2 linked regions of the Caenorhabditis elegans genome follow. Each later gene encodes a partner of the first gene's protein in a complex. Each region holds a gene or a part of one and is shown on either strand. Other genes may lie near its edges.

Region 1 (10,915 bases):
TATAGTTTGTAGTCGACGCCTCAACCAACTTTTGGGTCTATTTTTAAGTAATTTTTTTCAGATTTTCGCTAAATTTCTGCGTAAAAGTCAAAATTCAAAAGAAAATTTAGACTTTCTACACAAAATCTCAACTTTTTGCCGAAAAACTTTAGAAAAAACAGATTTTCATCACATATTCAGTCGTAAAAAGAGCTTTCCCGGCGAAAAATCCAATTTCCAGCCAAAAAAAAAAAATCAAATTTTCAAGCAAAATTTCGAATTTTCTATTAGAAAATCTGCTAAGAAATGTACATTTCATGATTTTTTCTCAGAAAAATCAAATTTTTATGCGAAATAAAATAAATTTGAAAAAAAAATCATTTAAACTCGAGTTTAAATTCAAATTTTCACGAAAAATGAAATTAGCCCGCGATTGGTTGAGGCTCATAGACTACAAACTACAGTTTTTCATAGCCTCACCAAAAGTTGGTTGAGGCTAGGGTAGTTTGTAGTCGTAGCCTCAAGCAACATTTTCGGCGTTTTTGCTTATTTTTCACAGTTTTCAACTCAAAAAATGGAAAATTATATCCAGTTTTTTTGAGTTTTCATGGAAAAATTTTTAATTTATGACTGTTTTCATACTTTTCTGCTCAAATTTTCACCGAAATTTCTCTGTTTTACAGAAAAAATCACTTGAAAATTCGTTTTTTGGGCAAAAAATGACTGAAAAATCGGTTTTTTTTCGATTAAAATTCAGAAAAATTGGCTGAAAAAAGTTGTGTGAGGCTCACACACTACAAACTACAAAGTTCTCTGAGCCTCACCCAAGTTGGTTGAGGCTGGAGAATTATGTAGTTTGTAGTGTGTGAGCCTCAACCAAGGTTTTTTGAGCATTTTAATTAGATTTTATTGTCAAAAATACAATTTTCAGCCATTTTTTCGCTAGATTTCTTCTGAAAATTAAAAAAATTAATCAAAAAAAAACTTGTTTTTTCCAGAAAATCCCACGATCGGCTCCGCCACAAGTACTCTGAGCTTAAAGCGAACATTGAAGTGGAGAAAAAGATGAAGACAGACGTGTTAAAGATGCTTCAGGAGGCAAATGAACGAATTGAGCAGCTGGAAAAGACACGTGGCAACAGTCATGACGACTCATCACTACTAATCCCCTCATATTCACTACATGATGCATCTTCAGAAGGCGCCGGGGAAGCGCTGTGCTATCCGGACTCGGGAGCGGCGGCTCAAAATCCACAAAATTCGATGTTCATGTCAATTTTCTCGTCGAATCTCGTGTTTTCCGCGCAAAATTCCACTCAAAACGCGCAAAATCCGATGCCAAAATCGCTGGAAGACGATCTGGACGCACAGGATGAGGTCCGTGTCTTCCGAAGCTCTGAAGATCAAGAAATCACTGATCCAGAGGATTTTGAAGAGGACGAAACTGAAGAACTCGAAATTTCATCATCGCCGTTTGAGGTGGAAACATCGAGAAGCAGCTCGCAGCAGCCCGGAGGAGAGGATTCGACGATTTTCGAGGGAAATATCCGGAAAATTGGCGGCGGCAGAAGACACTCGGATTCGGATTTGTTTAAGGGGGGTCCCGACACGATTAGTCTCACGCCGAGCGATACTGTTCCAGTGGCACCGCAAAACGAGTATGTGAGGCTGCAGAAATACTCGAGAACGAATTCATGGCTTAAAGTGGGTTTTTTGAGTGAAGAAAATAATTATTTTGCACAAAAAATGAAGGTTTTCCGATTTTTACAACAAAAATCGATGAAAAACTATTTAAAAAAAACGGTAAAATTGGATTTTTTCTGAATTTTCTGCGTAAAATTGCTCGATTTCGAGTGCAAAATGCAGTTGGTTGAGGTTCACACTACAAACTACAACTTTTTCTAGCCTCACCCAAGTTGGTTGAGGCTGAAAGTTATATTTTTTTTTAATCTGAGCCTTACCAAATGCATTTTCCACTCAAAATCATGCAATTATACGCTGAAATCTCACTTTTCTTCATGAAATAACATCTAAATTTTCGATTTTCCGTTTAAAATTGCAGAGAAAAATGAACTTTTCCGGCTGGTTGAGGCTCACACTACAAACTACAACATTTTCTAGCCTCACCCAGCTTTTGGTGAGGCTTGACAAGTTGTAGTTTGAAGTGTGAGCCTCAACCAAACACGTATTTTTGGCAGAAATACGCGATTTGCAGTCAATTTTTGACTTTATTACCCTAAAAATTAACAATTTCCGTATATTTTCAGCTGAAAAATCACAATTTTGCCATTTTTTCACTTCATTTGTGTTTCTTTTGTGTTTCTGCACGAAAATTGAGAGAAAAAGCCTTTTTTCTTTGTAATTTTATTTGAAAATGAATAGAAAAGTGACAAAATTGTGATTTTTCAGCTGAAAAGAAACGGAAATTGTTAATTTTTATGATAATAATGTTGAAATACTACAAACGACAACATTTTCTAGCCTCACCCAACTTTTGATGAGGCTAGAAACCTTGTAGTTTGTAGTGTGTGAGCCTCAACCAAATGCATTTTCCACTCAAAATCAAGCAATTTTAACGGAAAAAACTTGAAATTCCAATCATTTTTATTCAATTTTTCAGCGAAATTCCATCAATCCAGACGATGACGGTGGCTCATCAGATAGTTCGGAAGAGGAACGACTAAGCCTAATCGAGAGACAATTGAAGAAAAAGGGCGGTCTCGTCAAATATAATCCGCCGAGAACGAAAATTCACGATAAACACTATAAAAGGTGCGGGAATCTTCAATTTTCGCCACTTTTTAGTGAAAAAAAAACCTCTAAAAACGAAGAAAATTACTATTTTCAGTGGAAAAAACCCAAAAAAAAACCGAGAATTTTGCTTTTTCCAGAAGAAAATTGCTTAAAAATTGGATAAAACTGTTATTTTTAATCAATTTTCATCATTTTTTAGTGAAAACCTCTAAAAACGAAGAATATTGCTATTTTCTGTGGAAAAAACCCAAAAAATACGGAGAATTTTGCTTTTTTCAGAAGAAAATTGCTTAAAAATTGGATAAAACTGTTATTTTTAATCAATTTTCATCATTTTTTAGTGAAAACCTCTAAAAACGAAGAATATTGCTATTTTCTGTGGAAAAAACCCAAAAAATACGGAGAATTTTGCTTTTTTCAGAAGAAAATTGCTTAAAAATTGGATAAAACTGTTATTTTTAATCAATTTTCATCATTTTTTAGTGAAAACCTCTAAAAACGAAGAATATTGCTATTTTCTGTGGAAAAAACCCAAAAAATACGGAGAATTTTGCTTTTTTCAGAAGAAAATTGCTTAAAAATTGGATAAAACTGTTATTTTTAATCAATTTTCATCATTTTTTAGTGAAAACCTCTAAAAACGAAGAATATTGCTATTTTCTGTGGAAAAAACCCAAAAAATACGGAGAATTTTGCTTTTTTCAGAAGAAAATTGCTTAAAAATTGGATAAAACTGTTATTTTTAATCAATTTTCATCATTTTTTAGTGAAAACCTCTAAAAACGAAGAATATTGCTATTTTCTGTGGAAAAAACCCAAAAAATACGGAGAATTTTGCTTTTTTCAGAAGAAAATTGCTTAAAAATTGGATAAAACTGTTATTTTTATTCAATTTTCAACAATTTTCCGCTAAAATCACTCGCCCCTTTTACCACGCAAAACATGGTGATTGGCGGAACCCGCGAAGCCGTCCGCCGCTCAAATTGCGTATAAAAGGACGAATTTTCTATGGGTTTTCGCATATTTTTCATGATTTTTCCTAGTTTTTCGGTGGAAAATAGCTATTTTTAGGCGGAAAATTCCAATTTTTATTCAAATTTAGTCAATTGTAACCCATTTTTATTCCAGATTCGGCAAAAACGAGCGTTCGGCGTTGGCAGAATTCGAATATCTTCAGGATATGTCTACAGACGTCTCGGGGCTCCAATCAAGCCCTGAACTCGGACAATTGATGGGACAACTGCAGCAACAGAGGATGTAGAGCTGATTTTCAGTGGAAAATTCTAATTTTCTGTGAAAAAAATCGAGTTTTTTGGGTAAAAATTCATAGAAATCTGAATTTTTCCCCCAAAAATTGAATTTTTAGTCAATTTTTACCATGTTTAACCCTAATAAATCCCCATTTCCCCCCCCCCCCCCCCCCCCCCCCCCCCCATTTTCGTGTCAATTTTCGGGTAAAATTCCCATTTTTCGCTTGTATTTTTGCCCATTTTTCATTGTTTTTTCTCTCGAATTTTCTCAGATAATCAATCAATTTAATTGAATCTTTTTTTTTGTTGAAAAAATTGAATCATTTTCCATAATTTTGTCATTTTTTTCCCATAATTTGAAATGAATTTCTCACTTTCCTATTTTCGCTATTCTTTTCCGGTTTTTTCGGGGGGAAATCCTCGAAAAAGTGTAATTTTGCACTTGAATATTTTTTTTTTTAATAGTTTTTCTATTTTTTAGCTGAAAATTCAATTTTTAAACGTTTTTTCACATAAACCAACGTTTAACAGAAATTTTGTTTTAAAAATCGGTAAAAACCGAATAAAAAGTGAAAATTCGAAGAAAAATTTAGAAAAAAACAATTTTTATTCAAAAACTCTAATTTTGCTGTAAAAATTTGGAAAAAACTTATTTTCATCACATTTTTAGTCGCTAAATTCAATTTTCAGTCGAAAAATTGAATTTTCAAGCGAAATTTTGAATTTTCAGTCAGAAATTCTGCTAAAAATTGCAAATTTCATGAATTTTTCTTCAAAAATTTCATTTTTTAATGCCAAAATCCAATAAATTCCACAAAATCATAATTAAAATTCGAGTTTCAATTCCAAAAATTCTGAATTTTCCACAAAAAAAAGATTTTTTCCGCACTTGGTTGCTCACACTACAAACTACACAATTTTCTAGCCTCACTCAACTTTTGGTGAGGCTTAAAAAGTTGTAGTTTGTAGTGTCGGCCTCAACCAAATGCATTTTTCGAGCAATTTTAAGCCGAAAAGTCAGAAAAAACTCAACTTTTTGCCGAAAAACTTTGAAAAAATTAGATTTTCATAACATTTTTAGTCGAAAAATGAATTTTCCCGGTGAAAAATTAAATTTTTCAGCGAAATGATTGTAAATTTCATTTTTTTTCTTGAAAAGTCTAATTTTTATGCGAAAATCAATCAAATTTGAAGAAATAATAATTAAAATTCGAGTTTCATTCAAAAAACTGAGAACTTTCCCCAAAAAATTAGTTTTTCCGGAGTTGGTTGAGGCTCACACTACAAAAACTACAACATTTTCTAGCCTCGCCCAACCTTTGGTGAGGCTGAAAAAGTTGTAGTTTTTGTAGTGTGAGCCTCAACCAAATCCATTTTTCACTCAAAATCGAGCAATTTTGAGCAGAAAATCCATTTTTTCCGTGAAAAAATTTAAAAATTCGTGAATCATCAGGTTTTTAGAATTATTTTTAAAGTTATTATCGTAATTTTTTCCAATTTTCTACAAGTTTTTAGTCTCACCAAAAGTTGGTTGAGGCTAGAAAATGTTGTAGTTTGTAGTCTGTGCATTTTTTGGTGTTTTCTTCTTAATTTGCACAATTTTGATTCATTGTTTATTCGGAAAAATGGAAATTTTATCGATTTTCAAATTCAAATTAAATAAAAATTCAATTTTGAGACTAAATTAATGGTTTTTTTTTCGAATTTTTCAAAATTTCCGTTTTCTTTTTTTTCTCTGAAAATTTTCTAAAGAATATCAATAGACAGAACTCATGAATTTTCAAAATTCAAAATCTCTAAAACTCAAAATCGAGCAACTTTGAGCAGAAAATTCAGAAAATATTCAATTTTTTCGTGAAAATTTCTTGAAAAATTCGTGAATCTCCAGGTTTTTAAAATATTTTTCAAAATTTTTTATTGTAATTTTTTCCAGTAATGAACAATACACATCATCACACAAATGGGTATCGAACGGAAAAGCCAAAAAATGAAGAAGATCTAGAGGATCCTTACGCTAATCTCTCGGATTTCTACAAAAATCATCCGGCAGCACGGAATGAAGGTAGCGAAAATCGAAAAAAAAAACTTTGGAATTTCACTAATTTTTCATTTTTTTCATTTTTTCAGCATGTTCGTCAGCTTCTAATGGCGGCTCTAAAAGTGTGAAAATGGAGCCAAAAGTGGAAAAAAATGAAGAATTTGAAGAATATATTGGTGATCCTGTACGATTAGAAGATATGGAACCATTTGCAAGACCATCACTTCGAGATGATGCACCACTTTCATCTATTTTACATCCGGATCTTGATGGAATTGATCCGAGGTACTGAAAACCACAAATTTCTGTTGAAATTGACGTTTTTTACCGGAAATTTCCACGAAAAACTCAAAAATTCTATCAAAAATCACTGAAAATTGGGAAATTTGACAAAAAATTTCATTTCCTGCCGAATCCTGTAATGTGTAGTATGAGATGTGTGTGGTATAAAAATTGACAAATTTTAATTTAATAACATTAAAAAAAATTTCATTTTTCTCTAAAAACTTTATTTTTTTTTCCATTTTTACAAACTTTTTTATAAAATCACCCGAAAATTCGAATTTTCTTCGGAAAATCTATTTTAAAAACTCTGAAAATTGCTCGAAAATGACATTTTTTGAATAAAGTATTCCAAAAATGCTCAAAACGTGCTGTTTCTTCCAAAATTCCATAATTTTCTTTTAAAATTCCGCAAAATTTGCTTGCCCTTGAAATTGAAAACTGAAATTTTTTGAATTTCCCGCCAAAAGTCGATTTGGAAAGAGTTTTTGCTGGAAAAATCAAAAATTTCGACAAAAAATCGTAAAATGGGATTTTTTTTTCAAAATTTTTCGAAAAAAAATCGAGTAAAAGTGACGATTTTTTTTTCAATTTTTGTTGAATAAATCGAATATTCAGTAAAATTTTCATTTTTTTTTCTCGAAAAATTGATAGAAATTCTAATTTCGTTGGAAAAAACAAATTTTCACTTTTTTTAAGCATGAAAAGCGCCATTATTTCAAAAAATTGGCAAACATTTGCCGAAATTCGAATTTCGCGCAAAAATCGAATAAAAGTGACGATTTTTGTTGGAAAAATCGAATTTTCACTGAAATGTTGGGTTTTGTTTTATTCGAAAATTGAAAATTGAAATTCGAATTTTGCTCCAAAAGTCAGTTTTCCAATGAAGTTTCATAAAAACACACAAATACACAATTTTTAAGTCAAAAAACCCGAAAATTGGCAATTTCTGCAAAAATTCCTTTAAAAAACTCAAAAATTCACTCAAAAATCGTTGAAACCCGTGTCACTTTTCCCCGAAAAAACCCACAATTTTTCCACACAAACCCATGGTTTTCCTAGCCATCAGAAATCTCATGTAAAACTCGAAAATTTGCTTTAAAATTGTTAAACCTTTTTTTCGAGCCAAAAAAGCCAAAAAAAGCCTGAAAATTGGCCAATTTCTGCAAAAATTCCAAAAAAAATGGTTGAAACCCGTCATTTTTCCCCTGAAAACTGGTTTTTCTCGCCGAAAAACTCGAAATTTTGATGTAAAATTGCTAAAAACTGCTAATTTCTTCTAGAATTCCATAATTCTCTGTTAAAATTTCCAAAAAAATTCCGAAAATTCGCCAAAAATTCACGCAAATCACTGAAAACCCCCATTTTTCCGCAAAATCCTTTAATTTTATTTTCAGAATCTTCTTCAAAGACTTCAATCCAAACAAAACTCTTCGTTTCTCTCGACTTTTTGCTCAAAATATCAAACATACGTCCCGTGCCGAGATCTGGTGGGCTTCCCGAACCTTCTCCAAACATCAACGCAAAAAAGAGCCCGAAGAGCCCCTCGCTGATGACGTCATCGTTGGAGCCAAAAAGCTGAAGCTTAACATCATTGAGAAGGTGCCACGTGTCATGTTGGCTGACGATGAAGAAGAACGAATGCGGAGACCGATACTGACGGATGCAGAGGAAATGGCAAAGAAAAATGAAGAGGGTACGGTAGTTCAGCCGTGGAGAACGGGTCCCGCCAAGATTTGGTATGATATGATGAATTTGCCGATGACTAGTCAAGCTGTTAATTATGGATTCAAACTGAAGGTAAAAATAATGAAAATTTGCAGAAAATCGGCTGAAAATTGCTCAAAAAAATGGAATTTCCTTTGAAAAACTGACTTAAAAATGGCTGAAATTGGCTAAAAATGATCAAAATTAAAGTTTCCTGGTAAAAAATACACTGAAAATGGCTGAAAAATGGCTGAAATTCGCCAAAAATTGAAGTTTTCAATAAAAAAAACCCTAAAAATCGCACTAAAAATCTGAAAAAATTACCAAAAAAGCGCAAATTTGACACAGTTTGCTCAAAAAAATTTGGTTGAAGCTAGAAAATTTCGTAGTTTGTAGTATGAGCCTCAACCAAAATTGAGAATTTTAAATTGGTTGAGGCTAAAAAGTTGTAGTTTGTAGTATGAGCCTCAACCAAAATTGAGAATTTTAAATTGGTTGAGGCTAAAAAGTTGTAGTTTGTAGTGTGAGCCTCAACCAAAATTGAGAACTTTAAATTGGTTGAGGCTAGAAAATGTTGTAGTTTGTAGTGTGAGCCTCACCCAAAATTGGTTGAGGCTAGAAAATGTTGTAGTTTGTAGTGTGAGCCTCACCTTAAATTGGTTGAGGCTAAAAAAGTTGTAGTTTGTAGTGTGAGCCTCAACCAAAATTGGTTGAGGCTAGAAAATGTTGTAGTTTGTAGTGTGAGCCTCACTCAACAATATATTTTTAGTTGAAAAACGTGATTTTCAGTCAATTTTTGATAATTTTTAACTAAAAATTCCTGAAAAATATAATTTCCAGCTCAATTCCGACAATTTTCCGGTTATTTTCACGGCTTAAACAGCATTTCATGAGTTTTCAGACAATTTTCGGTCATCTTAGACAATTTCATCTCATTTTGTCAATTTTATAATCAAATTTTATCGTTTTCCACTAATTTCTATAGTTTTTTTTTGTAGAAAAATCGGAAAAAATTGCTGAATTCCTCAAAATTTCAAAAACTTCCTCTCGAAACTTTAATTTTCAATTAATTTTTTAACAATTTCAGAAATCTCCTCAAAAAGTATCAATTCGAAGTGGAAAACCGCTCAATTACCGTACCCCGGATGATCTACCATCCACGTCATCAGGCCCCGCCCCAAACTCCGCCCCTTTCTTGGATAAAGTGGAAGTAATTGATAAAAGTTGTGAAGCTTCAACATCAGAAGATATTCTATTACCATATCAAGTAATTGAATGGGAAAATGATGTGATATTAGATGGAGAAGAAGTTAAAGATCAACTTTTGGAAGAATTTTCGAATGGAAGAGGTTGTGGATGGATTCCCACACAGTATACGAGAACTTATGAGCATTTTGTATATGCTGGTATGGATGAAAATGTGAAAAAAAGTGCAAAATTCGTGAAAACGGCAAAATTTTGACCTAAGAATGTTAAAATTTGGATAAAATTACGAATTTTGGCCCAAAATCGCCAAATTTTGATGAAAATTTCAATTTTAGCATAGAAAATTGTGGAAAATAGTAATTTTGACTTGAAATTGGCAAATATTTGTCAAAATTGCCAAAACTTATGAAAAATGACCAATTTTGACCGAAAAATTGCTGAAATTCGTGAGAATTCATCAATTTTCTATTAAAATTGCCACAGTTCAAAAAAATATGCCAAAAATCTTTTAAAATGATCCATTTTGACTAAAAAATGCCGAAATTTTTGTAAAAATGTCAATTTTTGCAAAAAAATTGCCAAAACGCGTTGAAAATTCTCCAATTTGTAAAAAAAGAACAATTTCGACCCGAAATTATCAAAATTTGTACGAAATTCTCAATTTTCACCAAAACAAAAAAAATTAAAAAATTCGTACTTGAAAGTTTCAAAAATCGCAAATTCTGGGCTTCAAATTGGACAATTTCAGGAAATCTGAACCTAAAATTCAAGAAATGTACGTAATTTGTACTGAATAAATTCACAAATTTCAGACTTTAAAGGTGGTGCTGTCGAATTTTTTAAAAATTTCTTTATTAGACTCAGAATTGTCTGAAAACATCGAATTTCATAATGAAACTTTTTGAAAACTTTCCAAAAAAAGTTATGGCGGCTCGAAAAATGGTCTAAAATTAGTGAAAACTTGAAATTTGACCAACTTATCATTGTCGCAGCGGCTGGAAACAATTTTTTTTTGAAATTGTCGTCTAATTTTGGGTATGCAAGTTATTTATCGTGTGCTTTCAACACGGTTTAGGTATTTTAAAGTCGATGGACGAAGAGATTTGGTGAAAAAAATTGAAAAATCTCATCGACTTTAAAATACCTGAACCGTGTTGAAAGCGCACGATAATTTACTTAAATATCCAAAAGTAGACGACAATTTAAAAAAAAATTGTTTCCAGCCGCTGCGACAATCATAAGTTGGTCAAATTTCAAATTTCACTAATTTTAGGCCATTTTTCGTGCCGCCATAACTTTTTTTTTTGAAAAGTTTTCAAGAAGTTTCATTATGAAATTCGGTGTTTTCAGACAATGTTGAGTCTAATAAAGCAATTTTTAAAAAGAAATCGACTACACCAACTTTAAATCCTAGAAATCCTTATAATTTGGACCTGAAATCAAAATAATATTCGCAAATTTCGCACCTGAAATTGAATAAAATTGCTAATTTTCTAATTTTCCAGCCAACAACAACGCATTCGAGCAAATGTTCGACGGAAAATCCGCCCCGATCAACCTAACAGGCCCAGATTCGGCAATTCTTCCAACACCCGGTCACTCGATATTCCCCTCTGCTCCATGTGACCTCGATATTCTTCCATGGGAAACTAACATCATTTGGGATGCCGACGCGATGCCTTCAACACTTGAACCAATC
Region 2 (14,063 bases), about 13 Mb from region 1:
GGTAGGCACGATTTCATGCCTACTTGCCTATCTACCTATTTTTCCCTTTTTTCGTGGTTTAGGTAGGCAGGCATGAGTCAGGCACGAAAATCTAGAAACATAATTTTGATTCTATCGGTAAAATAGGCTTTCAAGACAGTTTGAATTTTTCGAATTTCTACCAGCAAAAAATAATATCTGAAATTTTCGCGGCGAGACCCAAAAACTGACTGAGATTTGGCGAGCGTCGACATAGCGGCTTGCGAAAGACGGAACGGTGTTGTCAGATTGTTGGCGAAAAGCTGAAATTGGTTTTTCGAGGTCAATTTTCCACGTGGAATTCAAATTTCAGCACTCTCGAACCTTATCAAAATCCTCGCCGGATGTCTCAATAATCTCGCCGAGCACCTCATTCTGTGGTGGAACTATAATTAAAGTGTCCAGACCGCCGAGCTTCTCAGCCACTTTCGTGATCAGCTCCTTCCTGTGCTCGGCATTTGCCACGTCTAATGAGAAAGCTGTGACGTCACCTCCAACCTGAATTTATTCCCGAATTTCTCTTTGTCAAGTTCTGAAAATCTGCCTAAACCTTTATATTGTCCTCTGCAACCTTTCCCACACTATTCGGACAGTCTGCGGCGGCGGCGACCTTGTAGCCGGTGAACGCGAGTCTTCTCACGACGGCTTTACCCAGTGTGGACGTTGCCCCGATTACAAGTGCACATGACATTACGCTGAAAGCCCGATGAGGAGGCATATTTATAGATACACCTAGACATCAGGTACATTTATTTGGAAATCCGTAGAAAATAAAGAACATGTGAAAATAAAACAGATCATTTTATTATTTAGAGGGGAGAGGGAGGGGGAGCAAAGTCGCTGACTGAGAACTTTCGAAAACCGGTTAGTTACTCCAGTTGTACGGCTTATTCATGCCATATTTTCCAAGATTTCCACCATTGTGTTGGTATTGAGAATGTTGATTCTGCTGAGCTGCCGGCTTCGATCCAGACATCTTGTCGTAACTCTTGCGCTCGTCATCCTGTCCGTAGAGTTGACGACCTCCAGCGCTGCTTCCAACATTGGGCATCATGTTCATGAATGGAGTAAACTGGTGTGGAGCAGGTGAGTACTGCTGCATGAACAACGACGACAAGTTTGGCTGCTGCATGTAGTTCGTCGCCTGGAACCCTGGTGGTGGTCCAACATTCGACGCCTGCTGTGGCTGCTGATCCCGAGAGCTTTGAGATCCGAACTTATTGAAGTCCATAAGTCCATGAGTCTCTCGTTGTTGACCAGATTGCACTTGTTGCGCAGAAGCAGCCTGTGACAGAGGAGCAGTTGGAAGCAAGCTTGTAAGATCAACTCCCATTCCGTATTGCATAAGAGCAGCAGTATATTGCTCATCTCGAACTCCTGGCATTGGATTGTACATGTTCATGTAGTTGTTCATGTATGGTGCATATGGGAGTTGTTGAGTGAACATCATATGTGGATGCTGTTGTGGATGTCCAGTCGGTTGTGATTGAGCTGGTGGAGTTTGTTGCTGCTGCTGCACTGGCTGTTGTGGGGCTTGTTGCTGCTGCTGCTGTGGCTGGTGCTGCTGAGCAGATTGCTGTGTTGGAAGTGGTCCAGAATTGTTGAACTTGTTCGGCGCCATCCTGTCCGTTGGTTGATATGAAGCGGACGAAGTGTCATAGGACAATCCTCTGTTAGATTGACCATATGACAATGGAGGTGAAGTCGATTTTAAGTTGTAATCGCCGTTAGGAATTGACGTCCTTTCTGGCTGAAAAATAATCGAGAATTAGAATAAATCGTCTTTGCAACAAATTTAACTCACCTCAACTTGTTTCGGCATAATACGAGAAGAGTTAAATATATTTTCACTGGCATTTGAGATCGAGGCAGCGGAGGATTCAGTAGAAGGAAGCTGTGGGCTTGGAGCAGCCTCAACAAATCCAAATGAGTAGTCATGAATGTTCGTTGGTGCAGTTGTGCCAACAAATTCCACTCCAGGATCAGGAATAATCTGGACTGGTGCTGCACTTGGAATTGGAGATAATCCTAGTCCTGGTGCTTCACTCAATCCTATTCCAAGATCCGTCTTCAGTTGAGTGGTCCATGCTTGATTTGGTTCTGGGGTGCTTTGTACATTTTCATCGTGATGAGTCGACACATTAGGCGTCTGCTCCTCAGCCAAAACTGATGATTCACTGAAAATTAAATTTTTAATAATCTAAATACAGGGACAGAACAACTTACTTTTGGAAGAAACCATCTTCTTTCTCCGGCTGATGCGAAGTTTCTGGCTCGAAAAATACTGGCGCTGCTGCTGGCTCTTCTTTAACTGGTGCAACTGACGGAAGTGGAGGTTGTGGGGAGAGACTCCTCCTTGGCGGAGCTGCTGGTTGAGGATTCTGTGCCTGGTGCTTTCGGAGTGCTTCTTTGCGATGGGCAGCTGCTGCTACTGCAGCAAATGAGATCGGTGCCGGCGCAGAAGATGTGGGAACAGTGGCGGTGACGGATTCCTCTACTGGTGGTTGAACTTCGGTGACTGTGGTATCCACTTTAGTCTGATTCTGAAAAAAAAACACGTTTCGTCATTTTCCTTCTTCAAAAAATTCTTACCTCATCAAGATCAGCAGTGAACGCATCTGGCTCAAGTGCTGATGATGGAGCAACAGCTCGAGAATATCCACCTCTGGCGCCACCTCTTCCACCTCGTCCAACATACGGTTTTTCAAATCCTCCTCGAGTCGAGCGTGGTGCTGCTCCTTCCTTATTATCACGGTTATCCCGATTATTATCTCGGCTTTCTCTTGGAGCTCCATTGGATCGCCCGCGGCCTCCTCGATCGACGAAACCGGTGCCTCCACCTGAAAAAAACATATCAATATTTGATCTATTTCAATCAAGCACGAACCTCTGCCTCTTGCTACAAATCCTCTGTTGTTATAACTGCCCTCTTCCGGCTTCTTCTTTTCCTTTTTGGCTCCTTTCTGTTCAGTCCACGAGTCAAGTTTATCTCCAGCATCCAGAATGTGATCGATTGCGCCGTAAAGATTGTTGTCAGTATCCAATAGCGCTATCTCAGCTTGTGCTTGTGTACATCCGGTGGTTTCGATAATCTGAAAATGAAAAAGACATGAGCAGTGAAAAAACCCCTCTTGGGAATGCGCGAACACTTTAATTAGCCCAAATGAGTAGGACATCTGGGTACTCTTACTCTCGCTGCACCATCTCAAGCGCGGACACCTGCTTTTGTCCTTTTATTTGCCATCTGGCCCCGTCTTATCGATTCGAAATTCCTATTGACACTGAAAGCGGACACTAGAGAAGTTCAAAACAACAAAGTCACGTGCGTCATCATGTCGGTGTGTGGCGAGCGTTCGCGTGATGCAAAGATCACTATTTTCAGGAAAGCGTCATTTCCAGCTTGGAGACTTACCGTCTTGATCATAAACTGTATGTCCTCCTCATTTCCGGAATTTCCTTCCAGTGTGAGTCGTGCAAGTCGCGCTTGATCGCTGGTAGCTTTTTTGTCGCCTTTAATACCCATTCTGAAAACAAATTATAAATAAAAAGGGTCAGTCATGTGAACGCAAGAATGGAATGAGAATCACGAGAATACAACTATCAAAGGAAGGTTGAATGAAAGGAAGGTCAAATAGATGACAAAAGTAGGAAAAGAACGAAATATGGAACCTTCCAGATCAAAAAAACATTATCAAAAGAAAAGCCTCGCACAGAAGACTCTAACGAACATGTTAGGATGAAGAAATATTTCAGCAATACATCACGTTGAACTTTGGAGGATATTCTAGAGAAGAAAACCCCTACATTTTACAATAATTTTGAAATGGAATTCGAATGAACTGCTATACAATGGAGAATCCTATTTAGCGATGATAAAGTGTAGGCTTGTTACTAGATTGAATAAAAATTTCGAAATGTAACAATACATTGACTGAAAATTTGGGTATTTCAGAGTGTGATATCACAAAAATCAATATTTCCACTAAACTCAAAAGTTCTTACGCTGAAAAATCATTAAAAAATTGAAAAATCACCGCAAGCTAGACTAGAATCGCGTTCAAATCTCGCAAATTCCCGCAGTTGAAAATGCGGGCGACCGCGACGCGAGCCGCAACGCACCCCTCCAAACATGCGGCATGGGTCTCGCCACGACCGAAAGTACGGTCACTCTTGGCAGTATAAAAGGCGACCATTTTCCGCTATTTTCCGGTAAATTTTCAAATGAAACTGTGTTGCGGAGGGGGTTTTCCGCTAATTTTGCGGAAATTTAGCTATTTAATGTGAAAATGTGAATAAAACAAAAGAAAGTGGGGAGGAATAGCAAGGAAACACACTGTTGAACCCTGGGAATTATCGATTTTGTATGAACTCTTCTTTTATGGCGTCGAAATTATCGACACGAAAACTCAAAACCTTGTCACATTTCTGAGAGAGAAATATCATTTTCAGCACACATGAGTCTTCCCAGATTTCGACTCGTTCAGGGAAAGGCGATCGGCGAGCGATCAACGCCAGGAGTCAGCACACCAGAGCCGGTAATTGTTTTTTTTTATTTCAAAATTTCTACAACAACAAAAAGAACTAACAATAATTTATTCCTTTGATTCCAGGCCCCTCCGCAAATAAAGCAGGAAGTCGACTACCAAGATGCTCATCAAATGGCTCCGGAACCCGTGGAAGCACCCCGTAAATATTTAAAAATTTAAAAAAGTTAGAAAAAAAATTTGAATCCCAATTTTCAGAGGCTCAAAACCATCAAATGCAGCCGCCTCGTCAACCTATACAACAGCAGATGCAGCATTTTCAGTCACCATCGCCAATGGCTCCACAAGGGCCGCCCGGGACTCCACAAAACTCTGCAGCGGCGGCCGCCGCTGCTTCAGATGACAAAAACGTGACAAAATGCGTCCGCTTTCTGAAAACTTTAATTAATCTGTCGAATAACGATGATCCAGAAATGCCGGACAAGGCCGCCCGTGTCAAAGAGCTAATTCGAGTGAGGAATTGAGCGAAAAACGCGATAAAAACCGGACAAATTCGGATATTTCAGGGCGTAATTTATCTGGAAACGACGGCTGAAGAGTTTACACGAAATCTGCAACAAGTGCTCAAATCTCAGGCTCAACCGCATCTTTTACCATTCCTTCAGAATACTCTTCCGGCATTGAGGAATGCTGTTCGAAATGGTTCGGTTTTATGTGCAAAAAAATTAAAATCGACAAAAAAAAAATCATCGAAAAACAGGAAAATTTGAGTTGAAAAGCAGCGAAAAACTTGAATTTAACATAAAAAATTGCAAAAAATCCGTTGAATTACATTTTTCAAGAAATTGTGTAGAAATTCCATGAAAAAAATTCAAAATTTCCAAATTTTTTGGCTATTTCTAGTCAATTTCTTTAAAATTCCATTTTTGATAGCGAAAATTATCAAGTTTCTAACAATTTCAAGCTGTTTTTGGTGATTTTTTCAATTTTTCGGCTTTGAAATTCCATTTTCCGGAGTATATTGTCATAATATATCCGAGTTCCACAAAATTGAGCAAAAAAAATTAAAAATTTCCCTTTATTTAAAAATATTTTCAGCTGTCAGTAATATATGGATTTTCCGCAATTTTTCTCACAATTTTGAGCAAATTCCTGATTTTCAGCCAATTTATAAGGATTTTCACCCATTTTCATAATTTAGGGCTATTTTCAGCTGAAAAATTGTAATTTAAAGTTTTTAAAATTTTTATAGATTTTCTCAAATTTCAGCTCAAAAATTCGATTTTCAAGCGCATTTCCAGGCAATTTATTAAGATTTTCACCAATTTTTTTAGCTTAAAATTTAAAATTTCCACATTTTTTGTCTATTTCCAGTAAATTTCTTTAAAATTCTATTTTTGAAAGCAAAAATTATCAAGTTTATCGCACTTTTTCAATTTTTCCGGAGTATATTTTGGTAATTTATCCGAGTTCCACGAAATTGAGCAAAACAATTATTTAAAAACTTCCCTTTATTTAGAGCTATTTCCGCAAATTTTCTCGCAATTTTCACGCAATTTTCATAATTCAGGGCTATTTTCAGCTGAAAAATTGCAATTTAAAGTTTTTAAAATGTTTATAGATTTTCTCAACATTCAGCTCAAAAATTCGATTTTGAGGCGCATTTCCAGGCAATTTATGAGGATTTTTACCTATTTTCTAGATTAAAAATCTTTTTTTTTCCTCAATTTTGGACTATTTTCCCTAATTTTCAAATTTCCAGGCACTGCATCAGTTGAAGGCGTAAATCCACCGCCTGGCTACGTTTTCAACAATGGAAGAACCCCAGGACCCCCTCAGCCACCTCCACCTCAACAACAATCCCAGCAGCAGCCACCACTAGAAATGCGTCAAATTCCGAATCCGAATCAAATACCCCCACAAATGGTTCAAGGGGGTCCCCATATGGTATCTGTAGGCGCCCGGCCAATGATCAGGCCTATGGGCCCCGGCGGCCCAAGCCCAATGGGCCTACAAGGCCCCGTACGAGGGCCGATGGGACATCAGATGGTCCAGATGCATCCTCCTCCCCCACCACAGCAGATTCAACAGCAGCACCCGGCTCCCCCTGTAGAAATGGAGGTGGAAGAGAATTTACAGCCTACCGCGGCGGCCACGGCCACGAGGCAATATCCTGAAGGATCGCTGAAATCGTCGATTCTGAAGCCGGATGAGGTGCTGAATAGGATCACGAAACGAATGATGTCATCGTGTTCGGTGGAAGAGGAGGCGCTTGTCGCGATTTCAGATGCTGTTGAGTCGCATTTAAGGGAACTTATTACACTGATGGCCGGAGTTGCAGAACATCGGGTGGAGAGTTTGAGGTATTGAGGAGAATTGATTTTGCTTCAAAATACGGCAGCGAAAAAAAAATTAAGCAAAAATAAGGAAATTATTGAAGAAAAATCGTCTTAAAAACAATTTTACATTAAAAAAAAAGATTTTTAAATTTCAAAGGTTCCGAACTATTTATTAAAAAAACATCTAGATTTTGTTTTAAAATCCAAACAAAAAACATTGCTGAAACGCGGTAATTTTTTTTCAAAAAAATATAAAAATCTGAGAAATATTTTCAAAAATATCTCCAATTTTCCCCTGATTCCGAATATCTATTCGAAAAAATTCAAAAAAAAAATTTCCCTTTATATTTCAGCTTGAAATCGCTTTGTGCATGCACACCATGAGATTTTTCAAATGCGCGCCCAGATAAATTCTCATTGGGGCGCACTTGCTTCGTGTCGATTTACGGGAGCTCTTCATTTTTAAATTTCTTTTAAGCTTTTTTTTTCAGTTTTTCAACGAGTTTCCTTGATCTTCGTCGATTTTTTGTCATTTTTTTTCCTGAAATTTTGTTTTGTGTCAATTTGAAAATTTTTTAGGTCAAAACTCCTGTGTTCGTCGAGATCTGACGTAAAAATATAAAATTCCGGGAGTTTTGAGATATAAAAAAAATATTTTAAAAATTTCAGAAAAAAAACTGACAAAAAAGCGACAAAATAAAAGAAACGCGCAAAAAAAAAAAAAAAAAACTTAAAAAAGCACGAATAAATTTTTTTAAAAAATGGAGAGCTGCCGTAAATCGACACGAAGCAAGCATAAAAAAATGGCTTTTTTCCTAACAATTTTTTGTGAAAAATCCGAATTTTCCATCCTAAACACTACAAAAGATTCCAGAATTCCGGAGAACTACGTGGCAATTGATGACGTCAAACGGCAACTTCGATTCCTTGAAGATTTGGATCGTCAAGAGGAAGAATTAAGGGAAAGTCGAGAAAAAGAGTCGCTAATTCGAATGAGCAAGAATAAGAATAGTGGAAAAGAGACGATTGAAAAAGCGAAAGAAATGCAACGACAAGATGCTGAAGCGAAAAGGAATCGAGATGCGAATGCGGCTGCAATTGCAGCACTTTCCAGTAATAAAACTGTCAAGAATAAGTTCGTTTTTAGCGTGAAATTTGCAGAAAAATTATTTTTAAAAAATAGATTTAAAAAAAACAATTTCCTGACCAAGGGTGTCATTTTTCGATTTTTCGGTTTTCAAAAATTCGAAAAATGAAAGTTTCGTTTTTCGATTAAAAAACTGAAAAACCGACACCTTTGTTTCTGAGATTTGGATTTAGAAATAAGCAAAAAAAAATTATTCAGAAAAAATTGTTTTACAATGCTGCAAAATCGATGAAAAAATAAAATAAATCAATAACTAATTTCTAAAAAATGGAAAAAAATTTCGTTTTTTTCGAATTTGTATTTCACAAAAAAAAATTTTTAGAATAAAAATTTTCAATTAAAAAATTACTATTTAAAATCACTGAAAAAAAATGAAAAAAATAGAAAATTCAGAAAAATAGCGAAAAAAAAGTTTTTTTCCAGAAATTTCGTTAAAACGATCAAGATTTTAACCCTAAAATTTAGATAAAATCAATTTCTTGTGGTTCTTAATTTAAAAAAAAAAACAGTACTTTCCAGTAATAAAACTTTCAAGAATAAATTCGTTTTTAGTGCGAAATTCGCAAAAAAAATTACGAAAAAGTGAAAATAGAAGCTGAAAGGAAAAATGTTTAAAAAATAAGAATATTTTCGACATTAATTGGTTTTTATATATATTTTTTTGTAGAAGTTTAAAAAAATTACTAAAATCACTGAAAAAATTGAAAAAAATTTTAAAATCTGGAAAAAAAGCAACAAAAAATTAATTTTTCCAGAAATTTCGTTGAACTATTCGGTATTTTAAGCCTAAAATCAAGATACAATCAATTTGAACAAAATTTGCTTTAAAAATACTAAAAATTCGAAAGAAATAGAAAAAAAAAGAAATTTTCGAAATTTGGATTTATTGTTAGAGAAAAGCTGAACACTTACAAAAAATTAATTTTTTACGTTTTGAGAAAAATTTTTGAAAAAAAAAATCGATTTTTAAATAATTTTTAGAATTTTTTAGAACTATAATTTTTGAATTTCAGTGACTTATAATCACAGAAAAAAATGAACGAAAAACAAATGAACATCTTTTCGGCAAAAAAACGTATTTTAAAAAAAAATTTAAATTTCTAGTGACTTTGAAAAAAAAACCACATTTTCCAATAATTTCCAGGAATAAACTAAATTTCTTTGGAGAAATTTGAAATTTATTTCACATTTCGAAAAAATTTATATAGAAATAAAAATTTATATGAAAATAAAAAATTTGCAGCTCCTTCCAGTAATGAAACTGTCATTTGTTGAAAATTAGTTTTTTTTTAATTTAGAAATTCTCTTTTCGAAAAAAAAGGTTTTTTTAAAACTTGATTAAAAATTAATTCATTTTTTTCCAAAATTAGGGAAAAAATAATTTCTAAAAAATTAGACAAATACACTTTTTTGTTGAAAAAAACAACATTTTCCAATAATTTTCTTTTTTTTTAAATTGCTTCCACTAAATTCACTTTTTGAAGAAATTTTTTGAAATTTTTACTGAAAATTGTTGGAAAATTATTAAATGTGCATTTTTTTGCAATTTCCAGTTGATAAACTAATTTCGGTTCAATTTAAAATAAATTTCGAAAACCAATTTCAAAAAATTCATTTTTTACAATTTGTTTTTGTTGATAAAACGAGCTAGTTTCTACCAAAATACCGCTTTTTTACATTGAAAATTTAAATTTCAGATGGGAAAACACGGGCGCCGCAACGACAGCACCTCGTCCACGAACAGTACGTGTAACAACTCGTGATCTACATCTTTTAGTCAATCAGGATAGCCGATTCACAGGGTAGCGATTTTTTTTGTTTAAAAAATTTTTTTAAAAAACACCGTATTAAACATTGATTTTTATTGGAAAAAACTGATTTAAAAATTTTTCAAAAAACTTTCAAACGAATGGTAGTTTTTAATATTTTAATTTTAAAAAATTCCAATAAAAATCAATTTTTATACGATTTAAAAAAATTTTGAAAAGTTATCCAATTTTCTCCTAAAAAAACTCATTTTTTTTCCAGAACATTCATCCGTGAAAAGATGTCATACGGTGGTCCGGCAGTCGATACAACTATCTGAACTAAAGAAATCTCATGGAAAAAGGAGCGAAAATTCTGCTTTTCTCGTTTTCTTTTTTTAAATTTAATTTTATTTTTCCACAAATTAAAACAATCACTTTTTTCCAGTCAAATAATAATTATTTCTCATTTTTAAACGAAATGCTAGACATAAAAAAAAGCTTCTTTTTCAGCTTTTCAGCCAAAAATTTCAGATTTTTCAGAAAAAATTCAACAACAAAAAATTGGCAAAGTGCAAAAAAACCAGAATTAGATATTAAAAATACAGGAAAAATCGAGAAAAATGAGTTACAATTCAGAAAATTAGGCAATTTTTTTTTCAAAATTTCTCAAAAACACTGAAATTTCGGTATTTTTTTCTCTACTTGAGCACAACCTCGTGTTGCACCAATCGAACATAGTCTTTGAGCGTCGGTGGAAGTGGAAGCTCATCGATTATTCGCTGATAGACACCGTCGGCACCGGCGATTTCCAGATTTCTACGTTGGCGAAGGTGGATGGCGCGCTGGAAAAATTTCTAATTTCGAGCTGAAAACTCTTTTATGAAAGCAAAATTTCATAGTTTCAATTCAAAGTTCGAATTCCTCGCAAAATTTCAGTCGGAAAACCGAAAACTAGAAGTTTCTTGCTCGAATTTGAAATTTCGAGGGGTACGGTATCCTCGAAAGTACGCAAACACCGAATTTTGTTTTTTTGAAGTTTTGGCGCCAAAAATACAATACCCGGGGTCTCGACACGACAAATTTTTAAAATTTTTTTGAGTACTGTAATTTCAAACAAAAAGTTTTTTTTCGAATAAACTCGAATAATACGATAAAAAACATATTTTAATAAAAACCGTGGCAACGAAAGTTTGAAAGTACAGTACTCTCTTCAAAGGCGCACACCTTTTACGCATTTAACTTTCGTGGCGAGACCCCGGGGATACCGTAATTTTTGACTCAAAATTTAAACAATAAATCCGTTAAAATATTAAAAAATTTTTAGATATTTTTCAAAAAGACTGTCGAAAAATTGTTTTTTTATAATTTTTAGAATATTAACAAACAGTTTAAAAATTCCAACAAATTTTGTTTTTCATACCGAAAAGAAGAAAAATGGACAAAATAGTAAGCTATTTTTGTGTGTCAAAGTGTCTTATTTCGGCTTGATCTACGTAGATCTACAAAAAATGCGGGAGAAGAGACTCAGAGTTCTCAACTGATTTCGCATGGTTAAGAACGTGCTGACGTCACATTATTTTAAGGCGAAAAAATCCCGCCTTTTTTTGTAGACCAAACCGTAATGGGACAGCTTGGCACCACGTGACACCCCCCGATTCTCACCTGTTCGTGATTTTGGCGAACTGCCATTTCTTTCAAATAATCGTCTAGCGGGGGACTCGATGCTGAAAAAAAAGTTTGATTCGTTAGAGGAGCACAAAATTCTGAAAATGCGTATTGCACAACATATTTGACGCGCAAAATATCTCGCAGCGAAAACTACAGTAATTCTTTTTAAATGACTACTGTAGCGCTTGTGTCGATTTACGGGCATCGATAGAATATTTTTAAAAAAGAAGAAAAAAGAGGGAATAATACGAAGAAAAAAAGGAAAAAAATAAATTCATTTCAGAAATCGAGTTCGTAAATCGACACAAGCGCTACTGTAGTCATTTAAAGAGATACTGTAGTTTTCGCTACGAGATATTTTGCGCGTCAAATATGTTGTGCAATACGCATTTTAAGAATTTCCAGTTTTTTCAAACCTTTAAACTTACATTTTCGCGGTTTTTTGGCGCTCTCGGATTTCGGGGAACGTATACGTCGGCGACGTGACGTGGTTGAAGCAGGGTCCGTCGAACAACATGGCTCTTCGTCTTCCGATACTTGGGATTCTGTTGATGTTGACGGTGATTCCTGAGGTTCCTCTAGAGCATCTGAAAGCTCTTGCTCATCTTCTGATAAATCTCCATTGGGACGTTCAACCAGGCCGGTGGTGGAAGGATCATTGATGTTCGGAATCATTACAATCTCCATTCTCGGAGTATTTGGAGTTTCTGGTCGAGCTATCGAGGAAAGTATGCGATGATGGCGGGGTCTATCATGATTAATCGTCCATTCGAGCACATATGCTGGTGCTGGAAGGATTGAAAATTGTAAAAACTAAGATTTTTTGGCCAAAAAAATAATATTTTCTCAAAAATTTTGAAATTCTCGACAAATATTTTTTACTACTGCCGGTACAGAGAATGTAGATAGTTGAAGAGACACAGACATCCCGGGACCCAAGGGACGGGGCGCGGGATGTCTGTGTCTCTTCAACTACCTGCACTCTGTGCTGGTAATATACTTTTTCCAAAAAAAAAACCTACATTTCGGAAGTAAAAATGGAAAATTTCGGAGTCTACACAATTGGAAATTTTAATTTTTAAAAAATTAAAAATTGTTTTAATTCGGAGTTTTAGACGGAAAAAATTATTAAACTCTAAAATTTTTAAAAATCGAAAAAAAACAAGTCTGAGAGTGAAAAAAATTAATAAATTTTGAACTGAACATTAGATATTTCGATTTTTTTTTGAAAATCATAAATGTTTTCTCGCAAAATTCGGATTTTTTTTACCTGCTCGATTTTCAGTAGCCGGAGCTGTATTTCTGAGATTGGCACCATCCAAATGTGCTCGGGGCGCTGCAAATTTGATATGAAATTTCACTAAAAAATTAGGAACTTATACAAATTTTCTAAAAGAAATACTAATGTTAAGATAATCGAAAGTTTGGAGTGACAGAAAAAATTGTTTCAGCTTCTAGAAATATTTTAATTTAGAAAAAAACTTCCAGAAAATTAAAATTTTTTTTTAGAACTTTTGAACATTTTTCCTGATTTTTCTTTTTTTTCCATTTTTTGGAATTGCTGGGAATTTCTCTTTTTTCCTTCATCCCACAGCTTCGCTTCAGCCTAGGCCTAAGCCTGAGCCTGAGCCTATGCATAAATCTAAGCCTAAGCCTGAGCCTAACCCTATGCCTAAAACAAAGCCTGGACCTAGGCCCAAGTCTAAGTCTAAGCCCACGCTCAAATTTAAATCGACTCAAGTAACTACTTTAAAGTTGGCAGAAATATTTGAATTCAAAAAAATTTTTAACCAAAAAAAAAATAATTTAAAAGAAATTGTTTTTTTTAAATAAAATCAACAATTCACCTGTAAAACCTTGCATTTCTCTCCAATTCAACATTTCTTGAAGAACGTCAGTTCTTGTTTCATTCCATCGACGAACATGATCTGCTATAGTATTTCGAATATTTTGTTCATTGTTTTCTTGTTCTCTGGGATTATTATTACGACCCAAATATTGATCCATGACGTCATCCAAGTGATTACGGGTTCTTTGATCTGCTGGGAATATTTATAAGCACTTTTTTAATTTAAAACATATTTTTTAGTGATTTTTTTTCGAACTTTTGAATTTTGAATTAAAAAAAAAAAAATTAAAAAGTTAAATCCTGAGGGGAGCCAAGAAGTGGGCGTGTTTTAGGACATACTCTTCACTTACGCTTTGGTCTACAAAAAATGCGGAAAACTTTTGCCCAAAAAATGTGACGTCAGCACGTTTTTAATCATGCAAAATCATTTGAGAGTTCTGCGTCTCTTCTCCCGCATTTCTTGTAGATCTACGTAGATCAAGCCTAAATGAGACACTCTGACACCACGTGGAAAATAAAAATCGAACATTTTCAAAAAAATTACTCAATTGATTGTCTGCTGGAGTTAGTTGGTCGATTCTGAAAAATATTAAAGTACTAAAAATTTTCCTTAGCAACATAGCGCGTTTGCATCAAGAAAGGCGGGATTTTTCTAAGCCCGCCCTTTAATGGATCATCAATTTCTAGGAAAAATCGATATTTTACACTAAAAGTGATCCAAGAAAATCAATAAATCGGAAAATTTTCCGATTTTCCGTGCTTTTTTGCGAAGATTTATCGAAAATGATTTCCATTAGAGCACGCTTGCAA

What was found.
Region 2: taf-1 (region 1) and taf-4 share a complex: the UniProt entries of both Caenorhabditis elegans proteins name them as parts of the TFIID basal transcription factor complex.

Annotation. Positions count from the first base shown.
Region 1 is NC_003279.8:13,855,558-13,866,472, forward strand, and holds the start of taf-1 (Transcription initiation factor TFIID subunit 1), read left to right. Parts: upstream 1-5,916; 5' UTR 5,917-5,918; coding exon 5,919-6,045; intron 6,046-6,110; coding exon 6,111-6,306; intron 6,307-7,700; coding exon 7,701-8,103; intron 8,104-9,097; coding exon 9,098-9,416; intron 9,417-10,721; coding exon 10,722-10,915. Other genes in the region: W04A8.6 (ANK_REP_REGION domain-containing protein), read left to right, coding at 978-1,683, 2,600-2,751, 3,862-3,994. UniProt on the Caenorhabditis elegans protein: The TFIID basal transcription factor complex plays a major role in the initiation of RNA polymerase II (Pol II)-dependent transcription.
Region 2 is NC_003279.8:378,361-392,423, forward strand, and holds taf-4 (Transcription initiation factor TFIID subunit 4), read left to right. Parts: upstream 1-4,465; 5' UTR 4,466-4,472; coding exon 4,473-4,553; intron 4,554-4,628; coding exon 4,629-4,704; intron 4,705-4,760; coding exon 4,761-5,014; intron 5,015-5,068; coding exon 5,069-5,204; intron 5,205-6,264; coding exon 6,265-6,865; intron 6,866-7,715; coding exon 7,716-7,976; intron 7,977-9,685; coding exon 9,686-9,790; intron 9,791-10,016; coding exon 10,017-10,074; 3' UTR 10,075-10,204; downstream 10,205-14,063. Other genes in the region: R119.3 (DeHydrogenases, Short chain), read right to left, coding at 211-281, 343-516, 569-709; Prion-like (glutamine/asparagine-rich) domain bearing protein pqn-59, read right to left, coding at 884-1,768, 1,823-2,195, 2,245-2,561, 2,611-2,858, 2,906-3,110, 3,431-3,541; R119.5 (Protein-L-isoaspartate O-methyltransferase domain-containing protein 1), read right to left, coding at 10,435-10,578, 11,399-11,460, 11,833-12,192, 12,675-12,740, 13,252-13,446, 13,798-13,832. UniProt on the Caenorhabditis elegans protein: The TFIID basal transcription factor complex plays a major role in the initiation of RNA polymerase II (Pol II)-dependent transcription.